3 linked regions of the Oryzias latipes genome follow. The protein of the gene in region 1 purifies or fractionates together with the protein of each later gene. This does not show direct contact. Links are inferred from orthologs where the notes say so. Each region holds a gene or a part of one and is shown on either strand. Other genes may lie near its edges.

What was found.
Region 2: the proteins of ubiquitin-protein ligase E3A (region 1) and mapk6 purify together in Homo sapiens (affinity purification with mass spectrometry; 3 studies listed by BioGRID and IntAct, with this or other methods). This does not show direct contact. The link is inferred for Oryzias latipes from reciprocal best matches to the Homo sapiens genes UBE3A and MAPK6.
Region 3: the proteins of ubiquitin-protein ligase E3A (region 1) and psmd2 purify together in Homo sapiens (affinity purification with mass spectrometry; 4 studies listed by BioGRID and IntAct, with this or other methods). This does not show direct contact. The link is inferred for Oryzias latipes from reciprocal best matches to the Homo sapiens genes UBE3A and PSMD2.

Annotation. Positions count from the first base shown.
Region 1 is NC_019860.2:926,760-932,651, reverse strand, and holds the start of ubiquitin-protein ligase E3A, read left to right. Parts: upstream 1-2,275; 5' UTR 2,276-2,550; coding exon 2,551-2,627; intron 2,628-3,415; coding exon 3,416-3,460; intron 3,461-4,970; coding exon 4,971-5,275; intron 5,276-5,373; coding exon 5,374-5,892. Other genes in the region: RNA polymerase II degradation factor 1, read left to right, coding at 1-24, 278-380, 460-814. UniProt on the Homo sapiens protein: E3 ubiquitin-protein ligase which accepts ubiquitin from an E2 ubiquitin-conjugating enzyme in the form of a thioester and transfers it to its substrates.
Region 2 is NC_019861.2:13,629,430-13,635,302, reverse strand, and holds the start of mapk6 (mitogen-activated protein kinase 6), read right to left. Parts: upstream 3,636-5,873; 5' UTR 3,452-3,635; intron 1,242-3,451; exon of another isoform or gene 1,064-1,241; intron 333-1,063; 5' UTR 1-332. UniProt on the Homo sapiens protein: Atypical MAPK protein. Phosphorylates microtubule-associated protein 2 (MAP2) and MAPKAPK5.
Region 3 is NC_019871.2:18,699,350-18,705,410, reverse strand, and holds the start of psmd2 (26S proteasome non-ATPase regulatory subunit 2), read right to left. Parts: upstream 3,636-6,061; 5' UTR 3,570-3,635; coding exon 3,447-3,569; intron 1,706-3,446; coding exon 1,649-1,705; intron 1,561-1,648; coding exon 1,396-1,560; intron 1,302-1,395; coding exon 1,180-1,301; intron 1,051-1,179; coding exon 826-1,050; intron 701-825; coding exon 542-700; intron 430-541; coding exon 285-429; intron 1-284. Other genes in the region: hdac10 (histone deacetylase 10), read right to left, coding at 5,625-5,656, 5,744-5,903, 5,978-6,061. UniProt on the Homo sapiens protein: Component of the 26S proteasome, a multiprotein complex involved in the ATP-dependent degradation of ubiquitinated proteins.

The DNA.
Region 1 (5,892 bases):
CAGAGAACGCCATCCTGAAGACAGGTTCTCTCCGTCCATTTGTCTTTAGGGCTTCAGGATTGTGAGGGTCTACAGAGAAACGTTGGAGGTCAAAACCGTAGAAGGAGGAGGCAGAAATGGCCTCATAGATGTTTTATGATCCTTTCTTATTTAATGGCAATAAAGTTATGAAGGAACCTTTATTGGTCAGGGTTCTAGTGAACATTGTGGTTCCAAAAACCACAAATCAAAGCCAGAAACGGGTTTGTCAGCGTTCTCCTTCACTCTGTTGATGCAGATCTGGAGCTCCACAGACAGAAGCTGCTGGACGGCGAGAGAGTCAACAGTGAGCTGGCCTCGCTCGCCCAGCACCGCCTGAAGGAGATGGAGAAGCTGCAGAGGTTTGGGTTTCCCTGAGTGGAGAACTTCGGTTCCAAAAGCCGTCGCTTCACGGTCGCTTCATGTCTTCTGCTGTTCCAGCCTCCTTCAGAGCGCCGCGGACACTCCCACCGACCGGATCAAAGGCTTCCTCCACTCTCTGAGGCAGGCGGAGCCCTGCACTGAGCACGTGCAGACAGGGCTCAGGTCACCTCCTCCTGGAGGCGGGTCCGGTCAAAGCGACAGAGAGAGCACAGACCTGGTGGGCGGGTGTGCGCGGCGCCTCCGCTCCCCGTCTCTCTGTGACTCCGCCTCCTTGTGGTCGGCCTGGAGCGCCAGGTCCTCCTCCACCTTTGACACCAGGGACGAGGCGGCGTTCAGGGACGGCCTGGCGGCTCTGGACGCCAGCATCGCCAGCCTGCAGAGAACCTTCCAGCTGGATCTGAGGAGATGTTGAGGAACCGTGGCGGTCCAGATCTTCTGTAACGTGTAACTTCTGATTTGAAATAAAGCTTTATTTGACTGTCAATCAATCTGTGGGTTCTGTGTGTATGTGTCTGTGTTGTATGTTTAATAGTGTGTCTGTTGGGGGTGTGGGGGTGTATTTGTGTGTGTGCTGGTATGTGTTTTTGTTGGTGTTTGTCTGGTAGTGTGTGTATTGGTGTATGTGTGTCTGCTGGGGTGTTGTGGTTGTGTTTATGTGTGTATTGGTGTTATGGTTGGTTTAAGTGTATTATAGTGTGTGTGTGTGTACTTAACTGATTGTTTTTTTCTTCCAAGTAGCGCATAGTTTGTTGTTGTTTGTCAAATCTTCAAGGTTAAACAACGACAGCAGTCGGTGACAAAATAGGAGCTTTTTTTGGAAAATTTCTGATTAAAAAAAAACACGCTTTATGAAACCGATGTTTGCCAACGGACAATTAATAACTATTGTCAAATATATTTGAACAAGCCAGAGGGTTTCTCTTCTCACAGTTTGCATGGATGGTGAATAAACGTGGAAAAAATGAGAAAAGTTGTGGTCTTTACGTGAAATTTTCATAAATGTATCACGAATGAACCAGGTTAAAACCGCGGAAGAAGTACGAATAAACCAACAAAGAACTCGTAAACCAACAAAGAACATGAACCAAACATGATTATTGTCTGTTAATATACAATTCATTAGTAATTTGTGCGTCAACTACGTATTTGAACGTGATATGTGTGCTGTATTCACGTAAAGACTCATCGGTTGAAACCTTCAGTGGACATCTGCAAATGTTGATGAATGACAAAAATGATCACGCTTAAATCACGAAAGACCAAACTTTTATACGTGGAAAATGCGCAAAATGCCCGTAGTGGCTGTGTGACTCTGCTTTTATACAGAACCAAAACGCCTCCATCACTGGCTGACAGTTCTGGCTGCAGCCTGTAGAGGGCGCCTGAAAGCAGACTTCTGTGGTTCTGGTCTTTGAGGTTTTGGCTTCCAGATCTAGGGTCTCAGACTTTGACAACTGTTTATATCTATATCTATATCTATATCTATATCTATATCTATCTATATATCTATATCTATATCTATATATATATATATATATATATATATATATATATATATATATATATATATATATATATATATATATATATATATATATATAGATATAGATATATATAGATATAGATATAGATATATATAGATATATATATATTTTTTTTTAATTAAATTTTTTTTAAATGAATTTATATTAATGTTCAAAAAGGCTCAATTTAAGACCTTAACACGATGAGGATTTGGAAGAATTGAATTAAATTAATTTTAAGAAAAATAAACAGATTACATTAAATTGGTTAGAAATACATAATTAATTTGGATTCATTTCATTTTAATGAGATGAACTCTTCATTTCTTGCTGTCCTGTTCGAGTCCCGTTCCCGCTCAGTAACGATCCAGGCCGGCACGCGCTCAGGCAGCGGCGCGGAGCATTGTGGGACGCTGGCTGACGGCAGAGTCAACATGGCTGCAGCTCTCCGGAGGAGGATCGAACCTGCAGGAAGAAGGCCGTGAATCGAGCTCGGTTGTGGACCCGCTTGGACCGCCTCCGCGTTGCTCTGAAACCTCCGTGCTGTTGAGGGCGCTCACCGACCGCAGAGGACCGAGCGAAGCCACCCGCAGCCGCAGAGGAACCGCCGGGGAGAAAGCCTCGTATGAATCCCGACGAGAAGGAGGACTGTGAGTGTGCGGCACCACAGGCCCAGACCAGCCCGGCGAGCGGAGCTGACAGGTGGGCACGCGGGCAGGAAAGAGTCGGGGATTGCCGGGCATGTCGGGAGCTTAGCTAGCTCCCCGCTGTTAGCCGCGCGGGAGCTCCGCGTTTTCGCTGAATCTGTTTAGACAACACTTCGAGCAGCTTTGAATTTATTTTAATTCAATCACGAAACGTTTAATACGACGTTTTTAAAGTAGGAAGCGCGTGAAATGAAACTAAAAAACGGCCGGCGGGCCTGCTAATGTTTGCTACAGCATTAGCCTGCTCAGTCACGCCAGGCAGAAACCTGCAGTCTGCGACGTTTTCCGCTGAAAGTCCCTCCAAGACTGGATTGGTTCCAGCCTCAAACAGGGACCCGGTCTTTGTGCGGGGGGTTCTCCACCTGCTGCACCCTGACTCCGTGGAGCTAACAACACGCTTCCTGCTGCTGTTTGCAGCCCGCAGACTGCGTCCTCTAAAGGGGAACATCTCTACCAACGCACGGGCTGTTGTCATGTCACACTGGGAGGCTTGCTGTGGTCCTCCTGTCAGTCTGGGAGCAGGTCTGCAGAGCCAGAACCACATCCCATCATCTCCATCTGGATCCCCCCCGCAGAAACATCAGGCTGGAACTTTTGTCCAAGCCTCCAGGAATGTGGGAAAGACCCTCATGGCTCCACCTGCACATCCTTCAGTGCCTGGCTTCTTGTTAACGAAGCCACAAATCGGTGGACGTTTTTAGGGTTTTTGTCAGTGGGGTGCATGTAAACGCCGCGGTCCAAACCCGTTTCATATGTGTGATCTGTTCTTTCTTGTTCCTTCAGAGAACACGAGGAGCCTGACGTAGAAAACCCAGAAGCAAGCCGAATGTAAGTCCCCAACGAGCGCCCAGAGCCGTCTGGATGTCCGTTCTGTGTCCGTCTGTTCCTGTGGTTCCCCACGTCTGTGTGCGTTCATCAAAGGGCTGTTTGCTTTCACGACTAACACTTCGGATTTATTACGTTTTTACTAGAAAGAATTGAGCCGTTGCTTTTTGAAGACGCTGATAGCGTCAGGAATTCTGTATTGTACCCGAGATGTGCTAGGGGCCGCTCTGTTATGCGTCCTGCTGTGGACGCTGAAACGTTCTCTGAAGTTCAGACGCCGTTTTTGAGGCATTTTGGGCGTCCGGGGTTCAGGGGCGGGCGATCGCTCAGAACATCTTTGGACGACATCTTTGGACGTCTTTGATTCCATGTTGGGCCTCAAAAGCTGCAGTAGAACCAGAAACTGCTGTAGTTTTCCCACTTATCGATGTTTCTAACAGGAGCTTTTACTTTCGATACTGAAAATTTCCTCTAGTGCTGATTATTGTGTTCTTTAAACAGAAATCTGCTTGTCTGATATTTCTTACTTCTGCATTTCCTGTCCTAGAATAACCAACAGTTATGTCAAACTTAGAATGCTGTTCTGGTTCCGTTTAGAGGAGCTTAAACATAAACCAGGTTCTGTCCCTTCGTGGTCCTATAGAAGTGTAGTACGATTGGGTGTAAATGAATCGGTCAGGGGTCACCAGAACCGTTACTGAACGCCCAACGTTTTGGTAGAAAGATCTGTTGTTATAAAAACTGTCCAAAAATGGAACCAACAACTCTCCAATCAGCTTTCTTTAGCTTAAGAACGCAGGAGTTTTGAACACGGAAGCCCAAAATGCCCATAGACTTCTTGGAAGTGGTCGGTAGGAGTGTTTCAGAGCCTGGAGTGAACGTAAACAGATTTATTTTTAATGTGTACAAATGAGGCAGAAAAACTATCGGTTTTGGTGTCCAGGCGAAGCATCCGGTTTATAATAAGAACATGTGCTGAGGTACACGCGTGCACGAAGCGTGTCTCGATCCACCGACATTTGTGTGGAGCGTTTCATAACGTCTGGACCAGGACGTGGTCAAACGTCTTCAGCGTGTTGGAGGTCCCTCGCGGTCTTGATGCTTTGCTGATTTTTGTTTTTGTTTTCAGCGTGCTTCTAAAATATTTATGAGTTCAGTGCATTGTGTTCTGCTTCCTGATTGGCTGTTGACCTCGTCAATAAATCTGGCCTGTGCTGTGTCTCCTGAACAGAATGTGTTCAGATCTACTTAACCTCTGGAGACCCTGTGTCCTCACACAATGACATGGTTTTTGTACTTCCTGTACTAACGATAACGGTTATTGGGTCCTACTTATCTCACATAGCATTGTGTCCATTATTCATTCACTAGGAGCTCGCCGCTCCATGGCCTGAAGACGCGGCCGATGTCTCCTTTGATAGAAGACGAGCGCCACGGCAGAATGTGAATGTATCTGCTGTCAATCAAAGTATTGTTCACATCCGAAATCTCTGATTTTTTCCTCTGAACGCAGGAAGCGAGCAGCCGCCAAACATCTAATAGAGCGCTATTACCACCAGTTAACGGAAGGCTGTGGGAATGAGTGCTGCTCCAACCCCTGGTGTGCCTCCTCGGTGGGATTCACGCGCATGGACAACAACGCGGCGGCGGTCAAGGCGCTGGAGCTCTACAAGGTCAACGCCAAGCTCTGTGACCCGCACCCTTCCAAGAAAGGCACCGCCTCCACCTACCTGGAGAGCAGCACGCACAGCAACTCTGCCTCCAGCGACCAGCAGGTGAACCACAAGGAGGCGCACACGCTACGGGAAAATTTTAAAGGTGAGCTTGAGCCCAAAGTTCCGGTTTCGTGTTCCGACCGGTGAAGTCTTGTCGGGAAGGCTGTTCTACCGGTTTCACCCGCTCTGTTTTTCGCGTAGATGTATCTTACCTGACGGAGGAGAAGGTGTACGAGATCTTGGGCATGTGCGGGGAGAAGGAGGATTACTCCCCGCTGATCCGAGTAATCGGCCGGGTCTTCTCCAGCGCCGAGGGGCTGGTGCAGAGCTTCCGGCGGTCCAAACCCCACACCAAGGAGGAGCTGAAGTCCCTCCAGGGCAAGGACGAGGACAAGGACGAGGACGAGAAGGAGGCAGCGGCGTGCTCCGCTACGGCCATGGAGGAGGACTCCCCGTCCTCGTCGACGCGGCCGGGCGAGGGTTCCTCGGGAGACAACGACGTCCAGAAGCTGGCGCCGGACGAGGTCTCGGTGGACATTGAAGCCGTGCGGCGCGTCTACGAGCGCCTCCTGTCCAACGAGAAGATAGAGGCCGCCTTCCTGAACGCACTGGTTTACCTCTCCCCCAACGTGGAGTGCGACCTGACGTACCACAACGTGTACTCACGGGACCCGAACTATCTGAATCTGTTTGTTATAGTGATGGAGAACAGCAACCTCC
Region 2 (5,873 bases), on another chromosome or scaffold:
TAAAAAATAAAACAAAAGAAAAGAAAAAGGGGAAAGCTATATTAAACTATAAAAGTCTGTAGTTGCATCTTCACAGTGCAGATACATTCAGTGTATGACTGGTCCTGAGCAGCTTCATATGATTTTTTTGTTTGTTTTTGTTTCTTTAATATATATATCTATATATATCTGAATTTGTTTTCCTATCCTATTGATTCACCTGATCTGTCAAATGGAAATGGGCCTGACCTAATCTTTACAGGGGAAAAAAAAAGATCCACCCTCAGTGATCAGGTGGCTCTAGTTCGCCACAGTCACAATCAAAACTATCCTCCATTTTACTTGAGTAAAACCTGAAACAAAAGAAAGAGAATCGGACAACACTGTTAGAAAAGAACATGAGGACATCATTCCTACAGTCTGACACAAACACTCATTCGTCTTTTCTTAAGCTAGTGCCAAAACAGCCAACCGCCTCGATCACCGGATTTCTTTTAGACATGAATGTCGTAAAAGAGGCTGGCCCCTCCCCTACCCGGCGTGGGCGCTAGCTAGTCCGGTTTCCAAGATTAGGTAAATTTAAGAAGGGTCTGAAAAAACCCACAAACGTTTCATTAAATACAGTAAATCCAGAATATATACAGCCCCATAGGTTTACGACTAATCAATCTCCTTTATAACAAACTCATTTCACCATTTTCACCAGGCCAAAAAAGCGCCCGGCGGAATAGAGACACGACTAGCGAAGTGACAAGCCGCTAAGCGGCTTTGTCGATTAGGAATGATAAAATAGTAAACCTAATAATCCCAACTGATACAATATTAAGTACACAGAATCAAGTAATAAGACAAACATTTTCGACAAATAACCCATAAATATCAGACAAATCATGAAGCAGAAACCGTCGGCTAGCGTGAACAAAGGAGCCGTTGTTGGCGGAGGCTTTTGACTACGTGGTACGGCTTTTCCATCGCTTAGTAACACAAAGCCGACCTCGGTTTAAACGCTCAAAAATAGAACATAGAGTGTCAGAAAATCATACACATGGTATTAATAGTAATCGACATAATGTATGTTACTTACAGTACGTATTCGCAGCATTTTTCCGGTTACTATTTTAAGCTAAACGAGAGCAGGTTCGCGTGCGCTTCGCTCCCCAAGCTCTGCGGATCTACTGCAATCGCCATTCAGGCTGACTTAGAAAGGCGGGGATGACGTCACTATGGTGCATTTAGGGGCAGTGGGTAAAAAAGGCACTTGATAGATGAGTCGTCAGTATTCTTTTTTTATTTGCCGCAAATCTGAGCAATTACAGACTATTGCAAAAACATTTATTTGTAAGGCAATATAAAGTTATAAAAAGAAGCTGATTTAGAATGTATTTCTAGTTAAAGTAAAGATGTTGTGTATAAAACGTAATTTTACAATTACAACCCCCAAATAAATACAGTATGCACCACTCAGTCTGTGTTAGAGCCGGTAAACTCGTGTTTGCGTGATATAGCTCCGTTTGAGTATTATTGAAATATGACTGGATTAATCTTGTAATATCATTTTCTGAAATGAAATTATAGCTAATTTACATGAATTAAATATTTGTTGCTTCTTCTATGCAAAACGTGGGCAAATGTGTTTTGAGCAGCACCTGAAAGCAGCAGGAGCCATTCACACCGTTTGTCTGGAGTAGATCAGCGGTAGTTTTAAAATTTAGCTCAACGATGCAAGATTTGTGAATGAAATCGTTGATCTGCACACATTATAGTTTAACTTTATAGTGTAAAAAATCCAAATGAATAAATAAGCAAAGCCAAACGTCACCAGGGGCATCACTGGAAAACATATTTAGTCCACCAGAAGAATAATGAAAATCAAAAAGGGCTCAAAGAGAGTAAAGAAAAAAGCATGCATTGTATTCTTTAGAAATTTTAAAGTATTTAAAAATCATATTAATTTTTTAAATAAGGGTCTTCCCACATATTTGGTCTTTAAATGTCCCGAGTTTTAAAAACAAACAAACAATAACATCTATAAAATGTAAAAAGATTACATAATTTGGTTGTTCTCCTGTTTTTTTTCATTTAACTTGTTTGATTTAGCATTATAGTCCAGGGTATTTGCTTTGTCCTTTGGTCGATATTAATGCTATTTCCAGATTATAGCACAAGTATTGCATTAGTCTTGTCAGTGAGAAAAATCCTTGGCTGGTGTCACTCACTGTAGCTTGCGGATTTAGAAAGTCCGAACCTGTCCCTCCTTTAACCTACAAGGCTTATAGGCATCCCATGCTAAATAAGAAAGGAAAGACCACTCGTCTGTGTTCTTTTATGAAATCCTGTGTGGTCCGCAGTCTGTGGATGCTATGGATGTCTGCGTGGACTGGTGGGCGTGCAAGCAGCCACCATCCAGCTGCATCAGACTCCAGTCACATCCGCAGGCAGACCATGTGAGAACCCATGTGCCTGGCAATGCAGATGCCTCTTACAGGCCGGGATGGGCTATGCGATGGAGGAGTGAAAGTGCATGCGGAGTAAACGTGGCGCGGCAGAGGATGAGAGACTCCCTGTATGAATACATCCATCCTGTTCTCCAGGTGATCTTAATATTCATTTAGATATTTTGACTTACCAGCAAATAACTGCAGTATATTTTTTAAAAAGGTAACAGAGAAGGGAAGTGAAATGAATGCAGCATGGGCTTAGCACTCAGCAGTTTTCTGTTTTCCATCATTTACAGGCCTGTGGTCTGCAGAACACTGAATATATTTTTTCTGATTAAACTTTTAAACTATTTGCACTTTTCCACCCATATGAAGTATTCTTCCATCAGAGGGAATTCATGTGATTCCATTCTCTGATATTTAGCCCACATTCACAGGAATCGCAAACTGAAAGAAATGCAACATTTATACCTTAGAATTAGATTAGTTAGATAAGGTGCTTATCTTTTCTCCATTTGCCCTGCGCATGCTGGACATCCAAACTTAAAAGCTTGAAAGTTTCAGCCTGCATTGTTTTTCAGTCACATGAATTTTCTTTCTTTCTTGATAAAATTATGTCTTTTCTGAGAATCAATATTGTCTCCCAATCAGCGTGGGCAGCCGACCTCTGGAGTTACATCAAGATACAAACAGTTGACATGGCCCAACACATAAGAGGCATCTATTTTTGCCACTTAGTGACGAAGAGAGTAATCTCTAACTCCTAAAGAGACTCTGTTGCAGTCAGAAGTCTTGTTTATTGGACAGACAACATCTAATACGGCCCACAAAGACATGCACATCATTGTTGTGTCATGTTAATAAACATGTAATTAACACACAGCCACCTCAGGAGTGTATCAGTTCTTCTCCCAAGGCCTCCACCTTATCTCTTTTGTGCTTCATCTGTTTTCTTGATTTGTGGTTATCTCCTTACAAACACAAAGACTTGGTGAACTTTGGCTTTATCAATTTAAAAAAAAAAAACTACTTACTGGGACTGAAGTTCTCCAGGGACAACCACATGATTAAAAAAAAAAGTCAATATTCCAACCAAGACAGTAAATCCAGTGTAGGAAAAGTTAGTCCAAAATAATCAGAGTTGCAATGCAGTCCAGTGTCAATATAAATGTACTCTCAGAGACTCAACTGAGTGTTATCCTACTCCATGTGTCTCTAGTTGTGAGGTGGAGCTCCATGGGAAGTTAATATATGCTCAGCAGGGCAGGGGAGGAGACTGCTCTGTGTATGGCTTGTCCCTGGGTTAGATCTACTTTCAGCTTCTGCCACATCTTCCCCTGTCTCACTCTGCTACACCTCGTCTCATCGCCCTTTCAACTTTCTCAAAGGTTTAAGTCTTTTCTGTTCCTGAATAGATTTTTTAAAAAAATGGGGCAATTCTTCAGAACCTTGAATGTGCTGAAAGCCTGTAGAATCCTAATGTTTGCATTTTATTTTTTTGTAATATTCCAGTAAAAAAAAAAGATTTTTAAACCACCTTGCTCTAAAAAGAAAATACTTGATAAACCTTCATCTTGTCACATGCAGGTGCACTGTTTTAAATATTTTTCATTAGCCATTGAACAGAGAATGCAGATCATCTGCACAGTATGACACTTTGATGGGTTTGTGTTCTGAGGGCGAGTGTCCATGCTTTACTGCCTGCTTTAATGCTCAGCACCAACAGGGGGTTCATGAAGTAGGGAATTTATGAAAAGTCATGCAACAGCAGTTTGTTCCCTTTCCTCTTTCTCTGCTGTACAAATCAGATTTAAGCACCCCCCCCCCCATTCCACCACCTCCACCTCCCACCAAAACAGACTTAGCACACTCTCTGACAAACGTCCGTAAGCTGTGCTCTGCCTGTTAGACTGGCCCTTCTGGCATATCTCCTCAGTCATGTTTTTGCAGCAGGGCCTGGCACCTCCAGAGGTGGCTGTGTTTGGGCTTTAGGGAGATGTGTGCATGCACATTTGTTTGATATTTATACCAGACTTTACCAAGCTGTATGTTACCAAAACATTTGGTGAAGGGATGTCTGAGAACAAATGTGGGTTTTTTTACTTTCAGTGCCTTTTTCATTTTTTTTTTCTTGAGATGTTTATTAAAGACACAGTATAAACCAGGCTTTAAATACTGGCTGTGGTTAATTTGTTAGTCACTGTTTAAAGTGCATGAGAACATCAGAGGAATTGTACCTATGATTAAAGAAGCAACAGTACCTGCCTGCTGATCAGCAGTTAATTGGTTCTTAGTGAGCTCTGATGCTTTAGTTTCTTCCCAGACGAGTTCTGCAGTTACATAACCCTCGGTCTTCCAGGGCCTGAAGTTAAAGTACAGAACGGACCAGAAATGAGAACGTTTTTGTGTGGTCCTGTGAGTAATTGTCTCTGCATACCCTCTTTTGCTTTGATTAAACTTGAGTGCTTTAAAAGGTTGCAAGGGAAGTATTGCTACAGAGGGGAAGCATGCAAGTGTAAAAACCACTCAGTGATTCAATCAAAGGGAAGCCACAATTAAAGGAGTCAGATTGATGACTGGATAACTTCCAATCTAGACTGAAATGTCCAACTCAGAGCTGATTTGAAGTTTCCTCTCATTTCCATACACTCCTAGATTTTTCCTCTCCTTTTGTTTCAGTGATACGATCAGTGCAAAGCAGAGAAACCACCTCTGTCTGACTATTAAATCAGTGTCCACGTGGTTTCTCATATGAGTGTTGGAAAGGTTCACAGCAAGGGACAGTGTCAGTAGGCTGTAACAGTATCATTATGCAACATGCAACTCTGCCACCACTGACCTGGAAACAGCTTGTTGGCTCCTCTCAATCATTGTATAATTTAACTGGCTCTGGGATGAGACCAGCATCCACAAAATGTGATAAAAAGATAGGATTTAAAAAAAAAAAGATAGTAACCTCACAATATGATTAAAAGCAGGCAAAATAACACAACTCATGTTCTTAAAAAGCAATGTTCTCCCCAGAATGATAGCAGAATGTAATAAAAACCCTGCACAGGAAGACCTTTAAATACCCACTCAGAGGAAAACTGTGTTTTTGGTGTTTTTAACGTGTTCCTGAAGCATTTTCTCACGATGGAGGACATCAAAAGAAAATTAAGATAAACACTAAATTTCTGAGTATTTCTTTATTAAAGTTGTGGTGAATCAGGAGCAGACAAAAATTGCCATTGGGAAAAGCCTATTGCAGAGACTTGGGTGAAACAGTCTGCAGGTAAAATGTTCCCTTCTCCTCTCCATTCTGATGCATCCACTTGCAGACAAATAGATCCTTTAACATCTTTGTTTTCCTCATATGAGCTGACATCTGCCTTAAAACTATATGGCTGGATAGCTCGCCATTTTTGTTGCACCACTAATGTTAGGTTGGGGGTGTGAAAGGCTGTGAGCTGGTGG
Region 3 (6,061 bases), on another chromosome or scaffold:
ATTGCTTATTTATTTTGTTACTTAATTGCAGACTGTTATGCTGCAGCAGAGCTCAGAAAGCTGTTTTAATTAAAAAAGGAAAAACCAAAGGTGTTAAATAAACCACAGACGAACACTGTCATCATTGGTGCATACATGGAGGTTGGCGTCTTTGAGATTAGATAACAGCAAAAACAGATCACTTTTAGTCTTTTAGTTACATTTACAGCTGTCTCGGGTCTTTACAGATCAATAACTGCAGTCATCTATTACTACTAGAAGTAGAGCAATCCTCTCTTTCCTACCTCTCGGGCCAGGGCCAAGAAGTTGCTGTTGAGCTGAACGTTAGACATGATCTCTGTTAAGTCCTCATAGTCCTCTACGTCTTCGTTCAGCTCGAGGAACATGCCATGGCGTCCCAGCATGAAGGCCATCTGTTTCTGGATGACTCTGCAAAGTCAAAAAGAGCCAGGGGTACGTTTTAGAAAGAGCAACATCAACTGTGAGCCGGAAGACAACTGTGCAGTAATCCTCAGGAGCAGCGGAGCTCTACAGAACTTACATGTCTTTGCAGGACGTGAAGATGTTTTCTACCAGCTCCACATCGTTAAGCATCAGAGCCAGACGGAGAGCCTCTGGAAAACGGTTAAACCTTCTGAAGATGTTCAAGGCAGATCTAAGGAGTGCTGAGTTTTCTGGCTCGGGAACGTAACTGACACAGCTGAAGAAAACAAGTCAGAATTCAAATGTTTGTACTTGACTCAAACTTTATCCACACTTTGCTCTAGAAATTACACAAGAATACAACCATTGGTTTATTTGCTCCAAGTATGATTCTGCACAAACCTGGTCAGATAAAGGCAGACTTTGCCATAAGCGTTTTCATCTATGTAATCCTCCAGCATGTCCAGCCTCTCGATTTCCATTAAGAGGTCGCAGGCCTCGTGCTCTGCATTGTGAGCCATGTTGTAGGGCACGATTTCCTTAACAAGTTTCAACAGCGTCTCCTGCTGGGTTTTATCATTCTCCTCCACCTCCTGCCACTCCTTAGCCACCTCTCCAGCAAGATGCCTGAAAGACGCAGAAAACTTTTAGATAGAAGCAAGCAACGACAAAAAAAACCCCAAACACGTTATATTGTAGACTTATAATACGACATTTGGACTGTTACAGTGAGGTAGTCCGACTTCATTCATTTACCTGACATACTCATGACCCCATGATGCCAACTCTTCTTGAGAACCCAGCAGGCGATACTTTAAACACTCTCTCTCACCGCTCATGGTCATGGCAAGCACCGACACCACATCAGCACAAAAATGCTGCAAATGTTGAAAAGAAAAGTTCACTTTAGTGCATGTAAACTCAAGATGGAAGAAAGACATATTTCAGTTCTCAGGCCGGATAGAGGTTTACTTTGTTTTCCCCAGAAGCCATGCTGTCGTAGATTTCTTTAAGCTTGGCATAGTGGGGGCGCAGAAACTTCAAGGGCTTTGGTACTGAGGTCATGGAGGTGGTTGAGGAGCGGATTAGTCTTCGCAGCTCCTCCAGCGCAGGACGATACAAAGCTGTGTTCTTCTCCTGTTCAGGTTCAAACGAGAGTTATCGCGTTCGCAAGAATGATCAGATTGTAACAGACAAAAGAAAGTTGAGCCTGTTCAGAACTTACACTCAGCCTCTCCACCATCATTTCCAGATCTTCCTGTAACTGTTTGTCTTCCTCTGACTAAAAAGAAGAAAAAATAAATCACTAAAAATGATCACAAAAACCCGAAACAGACATGCTGTTCTCCATCACCCACACTGGCTGACAAGCCTTTGTTTTTGCCTCAAGAGTTGGTAAAAGAATATATCTGTACTTCTAGAGGAATAAATGTATTGTGCTGCTGAAAAAAACTCAACTACAAAGATGATTTTGTTTTGATTGGAAACCCTTCAAAAGCAAAGCTGTGTTCTCATTTTAATCAATTTACCAAAATAAAGACATTAAAATGATACCAAATACATTTATAGGATTGTTTTTACTTTGCAATCATATGCGGTGATGTTGAGGAGTCCATATGTTGATACTAAACATTTGGATGTTTCTTAAGCGCCATGACAAAAGAGGATTTTTTTAATAGGAGTGTAACTCATTTTAACAATGATTCGAATTATATCAGAATTTGTGACTGACGATACGATTTAGGTTCATTTTGAACAATCCGATTGGATCCAGTTCACTGAGGTATATTTCATCAAGGACATCTTTTAGCCAAAATCTCAACCCAAGTGACTCAGAGATAAATGTCTGGGTACTGAACGGTGCAGGGGAAGTTTTCAATTGTAAATTAAATGTGTACAATAAGTAAACAAGAATGAATAACAAATCCATTCACATTTTAGTTTCATAAAGTTCAGCCCACGGTTGTTTATCCATTAGCTATTAATACAAACAGAACATTATTAGAACATACTACCACACTGTATGATATGGTATTTTCCAAAATTCATTATAGATCGATTAATTTCATTTAGAATTTTTTTATTAAGTCGTTTCAATTTGACAAACACTTTGCCTCAAACAGATTAATCTGGTTGGATAAATTAGCTAATTGATTAATCGTTACACTCCTGGTTATTATTCACCTTTTGGCACATGCCTTCAGTGGTTGTCATAGCAAATCAGCTATTAATGATTCAAACAGGTGGTCTGACAGATTTTTATTCTGGATGTGCAGGGAGACCCAGACTTAGGCCCCCTTTTGACTACATATTGATATGCACTACCAATTTTTAATTATACTTCATAGTGCAAAAGAGTCTGTGACAGAGAATAAAAACTTGATATTCTTTTGTGGCAAAGCACAAATTAAATTATATAAACGTGATGAGATTTTAAAAAATCCCACAGTGCTAGATCTGTTCATATTTTCTTGATCATCAACTTTAAATGTAACTATTATTTGATTAATCAACTTTAACTCAATATCTGCACTTTTAGTATTATTGAGTGTCATAATTGTTTATGTATGTCCCAATACCAGACAAGTTAAAGAACGGTAAGTTTCACAACTAACACAGAATCTTTTAAGGAAGAAATATCCGCTTGGGTTCGGCGGCACGTTGGTTTTGAGTCTCACTGTGAGGGTAACTGAAGATGCTAGCAATGCTAACTTGGATGACAGTGCAGGCAGCGAACAAAACAACTGGAAGCTAACGTTAGCTTACCGGTTCTTAGCACGAGCCTTGTGTCCCATACTTAGAGATTCATATCAATTCTTGTTATAACCCTTGTGGGCGGAATTTTTTGATTTGTATTTAAAACGTTTACAATAATCACTAAGTTACGAGACTGATGTATGTAAATGCCGCCTACGTCGGCCTGTCTAACCTGCAGTGACTAAGCCAAATAAGAGGCTGACTCCTGTAGAGTTAGCTTAGCTAGCACATCTCTGAGTCTGAATGACAGAAAAAGAAAAACGCACCAATTCTTGCTCCTCTTTCTTTTCTTTATCCTTCCCGGATGACTGTGGTCCCTGATCCTTTTCCTTTTCTTTTTCGTCAGTCTTTTCAGACTGTTTAGTCTCTTTCTTTTTTGCCTCTTCCATGGTTGCGGCTCTGTGAAGGATTGATTAGCTAGCGGATGTGGACTCTCGTTTGACTTCTTCGGTGCTGAAAGAGGATCGTCTTTGACTCTCCAGCGCCCCTCCTGGCGGTTAGCAAGCATGTCTCAAAACCTGTCAATGGGATGACCACAATTGCGAACAGTAGACCTTAATTTTTAGTTTCTTCATGTTTGGAACAATAGAATAAGCATAAAATAATTTTTTTTAATTATTTGACAGTTATAGCAGATGTTTTACACTTATACTGTACATAACACATTAAGGGAATTAAATATTAAATTCATCAAAAGCAATTGGCTTAAAAAGGAGCAGGAGAAGGCATCTGAAAAACATGAGAATTAAGAAAAACAAAGTACATTTTAATTATGTGAAAAGACATAGCATTATTTCAAATCTCATTATTACATATCACAGATCAAATATCAAAACCAAGAGAATCTTGATTTGTTGTTAGAAAAAGTCAATGCATTGTTCCAGAAATGACTACAAATCACACATCAAGTAATCATCAGGAACCATCAGGAAACAAAGTGGAGACTTGCCAGAAAAGGGATTAAGGTAATTATCCCTTGTTTTATCATGTCTATTGGAGTGTTTTAACATATTGTAGATTAGATCCTAGATTATCCCAGAAGTGCTTGTAGAAGTTACCGATACTCGTTATGCCATCCGAGCCAGGAGCTTTATATAACTTAAGCACTTAATTGTTCCTTGATAGAGTCAGAGATCTTTAGCATCAGCTTTTCAATAGGAGGAGGAGTATAGTCTGCTGTAAAAATGAAAGGTTTCCTTTGAAGTTCTCACAGGATCAGTACATTTTTGGTGTTCAATAATCAAGTGCTTTTAATTACATTTTGTTCTCGTCTCTTTCTTTCTAGTTTATAAAAATATGCTGAAATTTCACCCTTCTCTATCCACTTTGCTCTCTTGACCTTGAAAACAAACATTTTGTTCAAAGAAGTGTATAAAAGGATTAGCTATTGTTTATCGTTTGCATTTAACTGTATTTTATTGCAAGTGTACTTTCAGTTTCTTTTTGTTTATTGTATTGATTCATGAGCTTTACCATGTGAGATAGCAATGCACTGTGTCCTATATCTAACATACTTCAATTTAGTTATGTCATTTGCTAATGACTCATTTTTAATTAAGCTTTCAATTGCTCTTTTTATATCTTAATGAAAGAGTTCATGGTTCAGAAGATTTGAATTCAATTTCCAATAGGCCTTGTTTCATTGATGAGAACCAGGAGAGAAAGTGAGTCTAATACCCAATCATCTGCGAGCAGTCCTGCTCGTCTGTGATTGGCTGGTTTGGTGGCTCTTGCTGTATATCATAGTCACCTCAGAGTTGAGAATGCAAAAACAAAGAGAAAGATAGTGAAATTGAAGACAACACATTTTTATTTGTTACTTAGAAACTTTTGTTTTTAAAACTGAACATTTTGTTATCAATTTAAGACATTTTGAATTTAAATTTGAGTTTGTTTTCAATGGAGCGACACAAATATTACTTCATACTATGACAAACATTTGAACAGAATCACTTGTGGTTTCTGTTTATTTCAGCAAAAAGCAGACGGCATTCCAAAAATATCAGAGGTATGAATTGGACTCATGGACCGAAATGTGCGAGTTTGGCCGAATCCATAGTGCTTCCCTACCCCTCTGGCTCCTCCATTATGATCCAATTGCAGGGGCATTTGAAGATATAGTGGTTTCTGACCATGTTTTTTAAGGAGGAACCAAAGCAACTCGGGGCTGGCTATCCCTCTGCTAGTAGGGTGTTCCACGCTGTGCTTGTGGGGCGAAGGAGAAGGAGTTTTTGTTTTTGCATGACTTTTCAGAGAGTTAAAACCAATGATGTTATTTATTTTCCGAGCGCCAACATAAGAGGATTGGCGACTATTCATGACGTCATCCAGCGGTAGTAACTTCCGGATTTGAAGGCACTATTTTTTTCTCCTGTATCTCTGCTAGGAGGGCTGAATGTAGTGATAGGGTGAAGCCGTAGGGGTAGAACAGGAGCAGGGATTCTTCAACCTTCATCAGTCCCTCCATTTTCTGGTGCTGGATTTAGAGGAGAGACCGTTTAGTTAGAGCAGGGATGTTCCGCTCATGTGCCTGACATTAAAGTAGATTCTTTAGTGCTCTCACCCGTTGCCAGCAAAAGGTTCCAGTCAGCCTGCAGCCTGCTTCTCAGTCTCTCCACAGCTTCAGCATCCTCCTTCAACGAAGCCGGAAGCTGTCCCAATGGAGGAGCAGGGTTCCCCAGCAGGATGGAGGCTGTTGGGCCCACACATGCCTTATCATCCTCCTTAAGGAGAAAAACAATAACATTGTTCTCTGATTCTCCTCCCAAAAGGTGAAATATTACCCGTGTCATCACACCTGCAGTAATACCAGCGTGTGTCCTTGAGCAAAGCTCTGCAGCAGGGCCGTCAGCTGCTGCCACATGATGTCACACACTCCACT